Xenopus tropicalis: one gene and its partner. The protein of the gene in region 1 interacts with the protein of each later gene in a pairwise test. Links are inferred from orthologs where the notes say so. Each region holds a gene or a part of one and is shown in the gene's direction. Other genes may lie near its edges.

What was found. The genes of interacting proteins can lie anywhere in the genome.
Region 2: the proteins of vps33b (region 1) and vipas39 interact in binary tests that used the Homo sapiens proteins (3 or more experiments, as listed by UniProt). The link is inferred for Xenopus tropicalis from reciprocal best matches to the Homo sapiens genes VPS33B and VIPAS39.

What each region holds. Positions count from the first base shown.
Region 1 is NC_030679.2:108,178,419-108,184,707, reverse strand, and holds the start of vps33b (vacuolar protein sorting-associated protein 33B), read left to right. Parts: upstream 1-2,181; 5' UTR 2,182-2,268; intron 2,269-3,056; 5' UTR 3,057-3,080; coding exon 3,081-3,173; intron 3,174-3,647; coding exon 3,648-3,728; intron 3,729-3,951; coding exon 3,952-4,013; intron 4,014-4,582; coding exon 4,583-4,632; intron 4,633-4,803; coding exon 4,804-4,871; intron 4,872-6,289. UniProt on the Homo sapiens protein: May play a role in vesicle-mediated protein trafficking to lysosomal compartments and in membrane docking/fusion reactions of late endosomes/lysosomes.
Region 2 is NC_030684.2:82,868,132-82,874,427, forward strand, and holds the start of vipas39 (spermatogenesis-defective protein 39 homolog), read left to right. Parts: upstream 1-2,259; 5' UTR 2,260-2,297; intron 2,298-2,325; exon of another isoform or gene 2,326-2,369; intron 2,370-2,404; exon of another isoform or gene 2,405-2,507; intron 2,508-2,673; exon of another isoform or gene 2,674-2,939; intron 2,940-5,216; coding exon 5,217-5,312; intron 5,313-6,296. Other genes in the region: ahsa1 (activator of 90 kDa heat shock protein ATPase homolog 1), read right to left, coding at 1-5, 1,575-1,654.

The sequences.
Region 1 (6,289 bases):
TTCCTTGATTTCTGACCAAAGCGCTGACTTCTGCAAGGGACTGCGGCCACAATTTTCCATGTAGAAAGAGAAGAGTGGTGTCTCTGAATAGCTGAAGGTGTGCACTTTTCGTAAATATATAGATTGTGGGGGTTATCTCACAGGTAGGGGGGGTTAACACTGAAAAACTGCAGGTAGTGCACATAGAGCGCAGCCCCCAAAATTTCAACTGAAATTGCCCTTATGCATTGCCCCTGTTTTGGGGCATTTGGTGGCCACGTCTTTATGTGCACCCATACATATGGGGTATCGTTTTATTCAGGGGAACTTGCAGATTGATGGTTAGTAAGTTTTTGGTAGTTGCCATGGAGATTTTGGGGAGAAATCTAGGTTTTTTATCTGGTTTTTCCTTGATTTCTGACCAAAGCGCTGACTTCTGCAAGGGACTGCGGCCACAATTTTCCATGTAGAAAGAAAAGAGTGGTGTCTCTGAATAGCTGAAGGTGTGCACTTTTCAGAAATATATAGTTTGTGGGGGTTATTTCACAGGTAGGGGGGGTTAACACTGAAAAACTGCAGGAAGTGCACATAGAGCGCAGCCCCCACATTTTTAGCTGTAATTGCCCTTGTGCATTGCCCCTGCTTTGGAGTGTTTGGTGCCCATGTCTTTATGTGCACCCATACATATGGGGCATCATTTTATTCAGGAGAAGTTTGTCTTTCAAATATGCCTTTGTTAGAAAATTTTTATGATATTTTTTTTTGTCAAATCCACATTTGATCATGCGTCCAAGTTTACGTTTTAGAAAAAAAAAAAAAATGTCATAAAAAGTTCCAAATTTCACAATGCACTGACAAAAGGTATTTGGCTTTTGAGTGAAAACTACATTGCACCTAGAAACCTGAAGGTCTGTAGTTTCTAAAGATACCAAACATGAGGGGATATTTTAGATTTACATATAAGTTATGCTGCATTAACTGTTACAAGCGCTTTTCTGCTTTGTTCTGGTGTGATATTGTACTAAGTATTGCCTTAGTTTGGGGGTTACTTCTGGACAGGAACTGTGGGGTACCACCACATATTTGGTATCGTTGGACTTGGGAGTATCAGGGCTTTTACAAACAATAAAAAAAAGTGAGTAAAATTAACTTTTCTATGGAAAAAAACCTCAAAATATACAGAAATTTTTCATAATTTTATTTTTTTTTTACATATTTCACCCAAAATACACATCATATCTCCAGAAAAGTTATAAAATTTGGTATGTATGTCGAAGCCCAATTAGTGACGAAAAAAACGATATATAATTTCCCTAGTTTCGTGGAGGTTTTCCTACCAAAAAACATTGTTAAAGTGAATGAGTACAAAATGCTTAAAAAACGTCTGGCACTGGGGGGAACCGAAATGACGAATTCGGCTGGCACTTAAAGGGTTAAAGGAGAAGGAAAGGGTATCATCACTGGGTATTTCAAAGGGTATTTATCACAGGGTGGGGACAATTTGTTAGGCACCAACAGTGATTATAACCACCTAAACCTTGGGCTGGTGCTTCTCTTCCCTGAACATCTTCATGTCTCTAACTGGGATCCATTGCAGCTGGCCCGGGCTGTGTACATGCATTAGAAGCAGTTGTTATTCTGTTCCAGCAGGAGGGCCACTGTCCATACCCTCTCCCACATCACTGCTGCTAAAACTATTGCATGAAAGGCACCCTATAGAATGAACAAGGTGCAGTCCCAAGCAGACCTCAGTGTGAGAAATACTGAAGGGGGAATTTGGCTCTAAAGTTCATCTGCCACTCTTTACATCACACGGGGTTTACATTCAGTTGCATCAGAGGCATTTGGTCAACTGCTGTTTTCTGCTGGATGGCAGTGACACAAACACACACTATGCAATTACTAAGGGTGAAGGGAGTTGTGGCTACCTGACAGCAGGAGGGCACAGTATCTAAATGGCTACTGCTTTAATGAAAAGGGCATGCGCCTTACGAGGGTGTTTAAGTGCTGGAAATAAGAAATAATAGGTGTTAATAGAACAGAATTCCGGGAAAAACTACAGCTTCTCAGCCATAAACAAACACAACAACACGACACAACCAGAGCCTAATCAGGCTGGGAACAGTAAGACATGGGGCGGGACCTAGGCTGCCATTGCACAGAGTTGCTTGTCACTCACAGATATGACTACTTCCTGTGTGAGAATGCAAGGCTGTATCCAGCCCTCGTTTTCAGCTCAGACACGGAGGAGAGATGATATCTCTGTAGCTCTAAGTACATTTTTAAGAGGTAATATGTGATCTAATCCCTTTTCCATTTCTGGGGCTTTATATAAAGGAAGGAAGCACATCATACAAGAAGCTGGGGATGACATCAAATCTCTGTGCAGCCCTCTTTGACTAGTGTTGCTGACATATTCCTGTCAATTCTAGGAATGTGTCAGAGTCACTGTAAAAATAAATATTAATCTATGAATAAATCAAGTTAAAATAGCATTTAACCCCTTACACTTCAGTTGATTAGGGTGGCTGGTGTCTCATATAGCACTGACAGTTCATGCACACTACAGCCTTAAAAATGCTGAGGGGCTTAGGAAGAACCAGCTTTCCCCCTGATTTCACTACTGCATTTAGGTCGCCAGTGCACAGAAGCCTGTGGGAGGCATCCCTAATTATTTGTAGTGATATGATATGTCAATTTCCATTATGCAATTTAATTATTTGTAGTGATATGATATGTCAATTTCCATTATGCATTCTAATTATTTGTAGTGATATGATATGTCAATTTCCATTATGCAATCAGAATCAGGTGTTTGGATCAGTGCTGCAATATACTATAATCAACCCACATGGTTCAACATAGTGTAAACAGTCCCACTGGATTCTCCCAGAAAATAGCCCATATAGAAGAAACTTATTAACTGTATCCTAGGCTGCTTTTATGTGTGACAGTAGTACAAAATGTATTTTTTGTTATGTGTCTGTAGGACGTATTAAAGAGTCTGCCTCTTAGATGAAATGAAAATGAGCCCTTTTGTTTTTAATGTTCTACTAATGTTTAATTTTTTTTTGCAGGTTTATCAACTGCAAGGTTTTGAAATGGCTTCAGAAAGAATAGATTCCCCTGAGCTTCCTGATTTTACAATATTAAAAAGACTGGCTCGAGATCAGCTAATCTATATTTTGGAGCAGGTCAGTGTGAGGCGTGCAGTAACCCTGTAGTTTGTGCCTGCTACTCTGTGTTAAAAAAAAAAAAAAATCATTATATATGAGGATATTAGTCACCCACAATAAATCTCCTCTACCATGGTCGACTTATCTTCAAAAAAATGTCTTCCAACTGGCAATAATGTAAATCACCAGTGGAAAAACATATGCATCACTTTAGCTTCAGAAGTTGCCACACGAGGCGACATGGGAAAGCAAAGCGACGCACGTGTTTCCCATCAGTGGGAAGGCACTCCAAGGAGTGTTAATGAATTAATTTATTACAATTTAATTTAATGAATTCATTTATTACAATTTTGAAAGCTATATTTTTAATTGTTGCCCTTTATAGCTAACATTTATAAAGCCAACTTCTCTGAATCTAGTTTTTTTTAAGTCTTTCTGAAATTTCTTAATTACAGTATGTTGTAATAATGTTCTATATTTTGTTGCTTCCAGCTACCTGGAAAAAAAGACTTGTTTATTGAACCAGATTTGATGAGCCCATTAGATCGCATTGCCAATGTCTCAATATTAAAGGTATAACCCATTTTCTGTGTTATGTGTGTCTTTAATGACTGGCAATTTAATTCTTTATAACAGGTATAGCATATGTACAGTAGTTTTGTGTATAGCCAAATGCTCCAGTGGATACAAGCTAATTTAAGGATTATTATTATCATTTACAATTATATCTTTTAATTCAAAGATACTTACAGTTTGTTGTGTCATTGTAAAGTTATGTTCCTTAATCTTAATTTAGCAACATGAGGTGGACAAACTGTATAAACTGGAGGACAAGCCCATTTATAGCAACTGTGACCAGTAAGTCTTCTAGATTACTACAAAAAAATTGTTGAATTTCAGGAATGGAAGTGCAGTACTGCAGCATTTTTTACCACATTAATGGTTATAGCTAAGTATATTCTAGTAAAAATACATTTTTAGTTTAGCAACTGTGTCTATTAACTTTCTATACAGTGATGCTTGAAAATGTGTGATTTGGGGGACCACAAAACTTTCCCATTCCTGGCCAATTCCTGGCCATTCCTGGCCAATAAAAAATGTTCTTTTGGAGCAGAGGAACATTGCATGGAAGTGGTAAAACATTTAAGGGGCTCTGCAAAAAAAAAAAAGAAACTAGCTCAAGTTCATTCAGGAAAGACGAGCACTTTCCTGGTGTCTCAGTTGTTGGTTAGAAACACTTGACACCCCTAGTGATTTTAGCTTCCATTCTCCTTTAAAACTGTCTGAATGTGACATATTTTTCATTTAGATAGTTATTTGGACAAATATTTGATGTATAGATCATTCCTAAAATTGGTTAACCAGCAATTACTAAGCAACATGACCAGAAAATACTTTATTAATGCTTGTCTTATTTACCTCCCTAGATTGTGTTTTTTGATCAGACCACGCATCAAGCATGTGAAATTTATTGCTAGTAAGTACTGAGATACCGAGGTAAAAAGGTAACGCACAAAACTGCTTTTAGAGATTCAGTACATTTTCTCTTCTCGGGCCTGTAACTGTATCGAAAAATACATTTACAGTTGCAGTATATGATATTATATATACTGCATTCATCTAAATGGTCTTAACATTTTTTATGCAGATCTTGTACGTTCAGATAAAGCTTCTGCAAGAAACCGGAAATACAAAATTATATTTAGTCCTCAAAAGGTGAGTCCAAAAATAATAGGAAACCTTCATTCTTAACTGTTCAAAAAGTCAGAAATCACTTTGGTGCATCTTTGTGACCACCAGTGTCACTCAGTGGCTGGGAAAACAGGGGTGGTAAGACAATGGTAATTTTATTAAAATGTAAGTTTAGAGCTTAATACATAAAAACTCACCCACATTCTATTAATTCCTATGGGATTTTTAGAAGCCTATTTATCAAATGGTGAGTTCTAGATTTCACCCATTGATAAATACACTTCCCATATACATGAATAGAATGTGGTTGAGTTTATCTGTATTAAGCTCTAAACTCACATTTTGATAAATCTGCCCCTTAATCTTTAGACCTGTGCCAACTGCTGTTTATACAAAGAAGCCTGCAAAGTCTGTACTTCTTGTCAAGACTCCCTCTAAGGGCCGTGGCAGACGGGGAGATTAGTCGCCCACGACAAATCTCCCTTGTCGCGGGCAACTAATCTCCCGGATATGCCATCCCACCCGCTTAAATGTAAATCGCCAGTGGGATGGCAAACGCGGCGCCGGTTTCCTCTGAAGGCAACTTCGGTGATTGCGGCGCCGCATATGCCATCCCACCGGCGATTTGTAAATCGCCGGTGGGATGGAATCTTGGGGAGATTAGTCGCCGGCGACAAGGGAGATTTGTCATGGGCGACTAATCTCCCCGTGTGTCACAGCCCTAAGACTCTTGAGCATTTGGTGCATATATATATGTGTGTGTGTATGTGTGTATATATATATATATATATAACTTCCAAGTAAATGCCGGCACTCACGTATAGATAAGTTGCTGTTGCCTGGGTGCAGGTCCAAATAATGTATATATACAGTGGTGTGAAAAACTATTTGCCCCCTTCCTGATTTCTTATTCTTTTGCATGTTTGTCACACTTAAATGTTTCTGCTCATCAAAAACCGTTAACTATTAGTCAAAGATAACATAATTGAACACAAAATGCAGTTTTTAAATGAAGGTTTACGTTATTAAGGGAGAAAAAAAACTCCAAATCTACATGGCCCTGTGTGAAAAAGTGATTGCCCCCCTTGTTAAAAAATAACTTAACTGTGGTTTATCAATTTCAATTTTCAATTTCAATATCAATTTCTGTAGTCACCCCCAGGCCTGATTACTGCCACACCTGTTTCAATCAAGAAATCACTTAAATAGGAGCTACCTGACACAGAGAAGTAGCCCAAAAGCACCTCAAAAGCTAGACATCATGCCAAGATCCAAAGAAATTCAGGAACAAATGAGAACAAAAGTAATTGAGATCTATCAGTCTGGTAAAGGTTATAAAGCCATTTCTAAAGCTTTGGGACTCCAGCAAACCACAGTGAGAGCCATTATCCACAAATGGCAAAAACATGGAACAGTGGTGAACCTTCCCAGGAGTGGCCGGC
Region 2 (6,296 bases), on another chromosome or scaffold:
CAGTCCTTGGCAAAAAAAACAAACAAAAAAGACAGACATCTTAATTGAGAATTTAGGAGTATTGTTTTAAAGACAAACTTGGCAACTAAACTATATCAATTAATTGTTATTTGAGTTTTAAAGTTATTTTCCCAAATGTGCATTAAAGGTGTCGTTCAATTTTGTATTAACTTTTAGTATGATGTAAATAGTGATATTCTGAAACAATCTACAATTGGTTCTCTTTTATTATTTGTGGTTTTTCAGTTATTTAGCTTTTTGGTCAGCAGCTCTCCAGTTTGGAATTTCAGCAGCTATTTGGATGCCAGAGTCTTGTTTACCTTAGCAACTGGAATGGCTTGAATGAGAGACTGGAAATTGAATAGCAGAGTGCCTTAATAGAAAGATAAGGAATAAAAACGTAACACAAATAATAATTTTAGTTCACAAAGCAACTGATTTTTAGCTGATGGTGCCAGTGACCCCCATTTGAAAGCTAGAAAGATGTAGAAGAGGAAGGTAAATATTTTGATAACTATAAAAAAATAATGAAGACCTATTCAAAGTTGCTAGGAATAGGATATTCTATAATGTATTAAAAGGTGAACCACTCCATTAACTGTATGTTGTTTCTGGATATGCAGAAATTTAAACTGTCAGCATCAGAACACATGATCAACACATGCTTTGAAGCCAATTGTTATAGGTACCGAAAATAATTATCTCCAACCTTCCCAGTTTGGGCACCAGCTGCCAGCACTGCATTACCAACACTTAGGTCATTTGTCTTTTCATGATCTATTTTTTGCACTGCTTGACACAGCCCGCATCAACAGCAAGCCAGATATAGTTACTGACAGAATGAATATGCCAAAGAACTTGCACAGGCCCATAAACGTTGGAATAGGTGTATTTAGCTTTGGCTGTACATTTTTTGCCAAGTCTTAAAAACAAAGCAAAGCAAAAAGCAGAGAAACAAAAAAAAAATTTGATCTTAAAAACTTGGATTTAACTATCTACTAGAAATTCTGAAAACTTGCAGGTTAAAGCTTTTCAGTGAATTTCAGTCAAATCATTTCTATGCTGGCACTGGCAAAACTGCACCGACCATAACTAAGATTTAAGCCTTTGCAAGTGATCTCTCTTACATGCCTGCATGTAACTGATTTAAACTAAGGAGATATGGAATATCTCAGACACACAGCAACAATGAACATAACTCATGTACCAAGATAACAACTGGGTGGAGGCAAAGCTTCTTATAAATCTAAAAAGACTAACACTTGGCAACATGATCTTACCTCCATAAAAAAAGCCAAATTGAGTCAGTATTAATTAAAAAATATCATTAAAATAGACATAACATATTTTACCAGCAACATTTTATAAGGTTGCATCTCCATTTCCAAACACTCTCTTGCTGCTGATATGTTGATTAAAATATAAAAAATTATATATATATATATATATATATATATATCCCAGTCTACAAGTTGGACGTGCTTCTTGGTAACATATGCACTTTAGGATTCCTAACCACGCTTGAATAATTCTGTCATTTTTTAGGAGGCATCATTAAACAAAGATGAACTTACCAGTGCCAATTGTTAACGTTGGTGGCATCTGCTCTCATCTCAACGATCCACCGCGGATCCCCCTCTCCCCACTTCGCCATGGCTAAACAAGTGAAGATCTAAATGCAAGAAACTATTCTGGTACCTTCAGCGCCGCTGCGAGAAAGGCCTCAATCAGCGTGTCTTTGCCGTCTGCACCACTGCCTGTCACCGCTCTGCTATATTGTGCTTTGCTCCTTTCCCTGCCACTAGCCTCTCTCTATGGTTTACACTTCAGATCCAGCTATCCCCAGACCAGAACCTCTTAGGAGCTGCGATACATTCTCTCCCGCCCCACGCCGTGCTCACTTTGCTCTCCTCCCCAGGTTCCTCATATATGTACCAGCCTCAGTAGAAATTACTAGAAACGCCTGGAAAGCCGGCTCAAAGTTTTTCCGGTGTCTGAAACAAAAGTCCCCGCCTTTTCCGCTCTTGCAAAGTGCAGGTTATGCTAGTTAGCCATCTTTACTGAGGGAACGCCTACTCGCACAACACGTATTACAAATACACGTTGATGGCTATAGATCGTTTCTGAAAGTGTCTCAGTAGATATCAAGTTCTGCCCACGATGATAATGGCTGTCTGGCCCCTCTATCCGCGCCATTTTGAGTGAGGCATGATTTAGCCTGTATACTGCATTGTATCGGTCTGCATTCTAAATGGGCAGCACGAATTAGTCTGTGACAGCACTTGGCGTTGAATCAGGTGACCCTTGCGTTACAGTGACTAGAATCACTCCTCCTGTCAAAAGGGCTTTAAGCGCTGTTTAAAATTGAGGCAAGCGTGATGGGCAACCAAAGAACCTTAGGGGATACTGAAAGTTGGGGCAATTGTAATGGCTGTCGTGAAGGGTTGTAGTTCTGCTGCAACTGGGAGTTTATCGTAATAAAAGAAAGCCGTTTTAAGGCCCGTTCGGTATGCAGGGATGTCGGCGCCCCATTTGTCCTACACTATAAAAAAAGACAACATATTGCAATTGAGTTTGGTGAATTAAGTATTTGTGAGATTTTGCAGCACCGATGCAATCACCGCCTGCTTTGCCAGCAAATGAATGATATGCTGTGGTTTTTTTTTTTTCTAGAAAACTGTTCATTCCAAAATATGTGCCGGTACTGACTGTACCTAATCATTGGCTGGGAAAATACTCGTAAATCCAGAATCCGTGAATTACTCTGCCAAGCAAATTGCCCAGAGCCCAAATTAAGCCGGAAGTGCAAGGCGCTAGCGCTGATGGGAATTGTAGTTTAACATCTAGTCAGTCTTCTCTGGAGATAGATTGGTTGTCTCGAGTAAAAAATACATATCCCAGCATTCTCCCGGCAGAGACGGGTTGTGTCGGCTGAAGAGGTAAGGCTGTAGATGGGTAGGGGCGATTTTGGGCAGAGGGACGCTTGCGATTCTGTAGGACCAGGTTATAGTTGGCCTGCGTCCCGTTTACACGTATCCTAGTATTTTCCACTGCTTCTTCCGTGCACAGCTTCTTAATTGCCATTGCCTTATAATCGTATAGAATGTCAACAATTGCTGGATTAAATGAAGAGGCAACGTTTATATGTCTGTTATCTTTTATTTATATAACTTTATATCACAGTGCCATAAGAGATTGTTCATTCTGCCCCAGTGGAGAATTTGTTGCCTATCACCTATCATCCTATAGAGTGCGTTTTACAGATAGATAATAGCCTGTATGTTTTGGAGTGTAGAAATCCGTGCAGATACCCAAATGCTGCAAGGCAACAAAGATAACCACTGGATAAACATTTGTTTTAAAATGTTGTTCAAAAAATGTGCAGCTGAAGAGAGATTCACCTCAGAATCATCCCTCTGCTGATCCTTCACTTCTGCACAGACCCTGTGTTGGAGGGGAGGGGGTCAGTGACCCCTATAAACACCACAGTTGCTTTTTTACTTCCTCTAATGATGTCATGCATTGTACTAGCAGCAGATTTAACTCCTATTGGCTGTGACTCCTGTGTCAGAGTGCTGCAATTCTAACAGTAACAGTAAGTTAGATTTATAATATGCTGAGTCTGTTTGGCTATGCCGTTGACTTTTCAATTTATGCAACTGGTTGCACAAGCAACCGATGAATTGATCCAGTGGGAAAAAAAGTAAAGGCAAAACCTAGACGTTATGATTTAAGCATATAGGAAGTTCTCAGTGTGTTAGGTTCAAAATAGGCCACTCCCATCCCTTCAAAGAAATTGTCACAGACACAGAAAAATGACTGATTTAAAGAAGAAGGAAAGGCTAGTAAAGAGTTAATCTCAAAATACAGGCATACCTTCTGTTGTCTCAATAGTGCCCTTAAAGGAACAGTAACATCAAAAAATTAAAGTGTTTTAAAGTAATTAAAATATAATGTGCTGTTGCTCTGCAAAAAACTGGTGTTTTTGCTACAGTAAAGCTACTATATAAATAAGCTGCTGTGTAGCCATGGGGGCAGCCATTCAAGCTGGAAAAAAAGGAGAAAAGGCACAGGTTACATAGCAGATACCTAGTAGATAAGCCCCATATAATGGGGGTTTATCTGTTATCTGCTAAGTAACCTGTGCCTTTTCTCCTTTGAATGGCTGCCCCCATGGCTACACAGCAGCTTACTTATATAAACTATAGTAGTCTTTCTGAGGCAAACACACCAGTTGTAGCAATGCAGGGCAACAGTACATTATTTTGTTATTACTTGTATACACTTTATTTTTTTGGTGTTACTGTTCCTTTAAGTCTCCCCATATTTCTCCCGTTCAGAAGATCTGAAGCCAAACAGGAAGAAAACACCCTGAGCTGGGTAGAGAAGATTCCCATAATGCCTCACTCCTGCACTGACCATGGGATCAGGACTGTAGGCGGCGCATGCGCACCAGCAGGAGCGCTCCCCCCAGCGCCATGGCGACCGCCGCCCTTATAAACAGTCTAAGCAGTGGAAGAACAAGACAAGACAGCTGGCAGGCAGGTGCTGGTGGGGAGAGAGGCAAGCAGGGAGCGTGGGATGATTACAAGAGGACAAGAGGTGCTGGTGGGGGGAGAGGCAAGCGGGGAGCACTGGATGCCGACTAGAGAACACAGCGGGGGGGGGGTTTTGCCGACAAAAGGAGCGGAGCGGGGGGGGGGTGCTGACAAAAGGAGCGGAGTGGGGGGGGTGCTGACAAAAGGACCGGAACGGGTGGTGTGTGACACGAGTTGGGGGTGCTGACGATTTGAATTCACATGAGTGGATAATAAGGATGCAGCTGCATCCTTCCAGAAGGAAGCGGGGGGCCGCAGGGAGGATGTTGGGGGCGCATGCGCAGTAGAGACAGTGAGGGAAAGGGAGTGGGCATCACTTGTTAAAGAGGGCGGCTCCGTTCACTGAAGCAAGTATGTAGAATGTAGCAGGTGTATCTCTGTAAATCTTTCATTAGGCAAGCCAGAAATATAGCGTTTTTACATAGCAATAGTAGTACTATTTAATAGTGTGCTTAATAGATTTTGACTTTCCTTGTCCTTTAACAGGTATAAAAAGTAGCTTTTACTGTAGTGTCTGTATTTGTCCTGCAGGGGAAGCACAGTCCCTTCTTTCTATAAATTGTTTTCTTCTGCTTTGCTTTGTCCTAATTTTGATTGTGATCATATTTTCCTTTGTAGATGTCCAGAACTAAAGGAGATGAGGAAGATTACTGGCATAGCTCCAAGTTCAAAGCTTTCGCTTTTGATGATGATGATGATGATGAACTTTCTCAGGTAAACTGTCCATTCCTAAATATTTTAAATACCATCCCATGCCTATTAAAGGAAAGTAACACTAAAATTTCTTAAGAAAAAGCTATTCTACCCTGCACCAATAATTGCCCTATCCTGCAAACCACTTAGTATTTTAAATGCTTTAATAGAAAATACCTGCTAAAACTTTGCTTCCTGTCAATTGAACTACGGCGATACGGTGAAGGAAGGAACTGCATCCACTATGCGACGATCGATTGATCGAGCCTAGCCTGAATCCTTCCTATACAGAAAGAAGGCTAGGCTCGAACAATCGATCGTCGCATAGTGGATGCTGCTCCTTCCTTTACCGTATCGCCGTAGTTCAATTGACAGGAAGCCAAGTTTAAGCAGGTATTTTCTATTAAAGCATGTAAAATACTAAGTGGTTTGCAGGATAGGGCAGTTATTGGTGCAGGGTAGAATAGCTTTTTTACTTAAAAAATTTAGTGTTACATTTCTTTTAAGGCTGATGCCAGACATGACGTTTTTACGCTGCGTATTTTCTAATTTTCTCGGCGGCTGAAAAACGCATCATCACCCATAGAAATAACTTAAACAGTTTCGATGGAAAACACACTATGCGTAAATACGCTAGAAAACGCATTACCACGGACTTTTCATGCGTTTGCCAAAATACGCCGTTATTTGCACAGCAACCTATTCCTATGTATACACAAAGGCAGCTACCTTGCGGAAATATGCTGCGTTTTTACTATTTCGCACTATTAGCACCATGGGAAACGGGATTTGCTGCGTCACCAGTACTAGGCAAAAGGCCTGGCTGAAAAACACCATTGTCAGGGGCTGTGTGGGTTGTGCGGCGTTTTTAGGCGGAGAAAATACGCAGCGTAAAAACGCCACGTCTGGCATCAGCCTAAGGATGGGTAACACTTTTGCTATACTTTCTACCCATTGTACAGTAGAGTTCAGTGTTTATCAGTTCTTTGAGGGAGGCAATTTTTT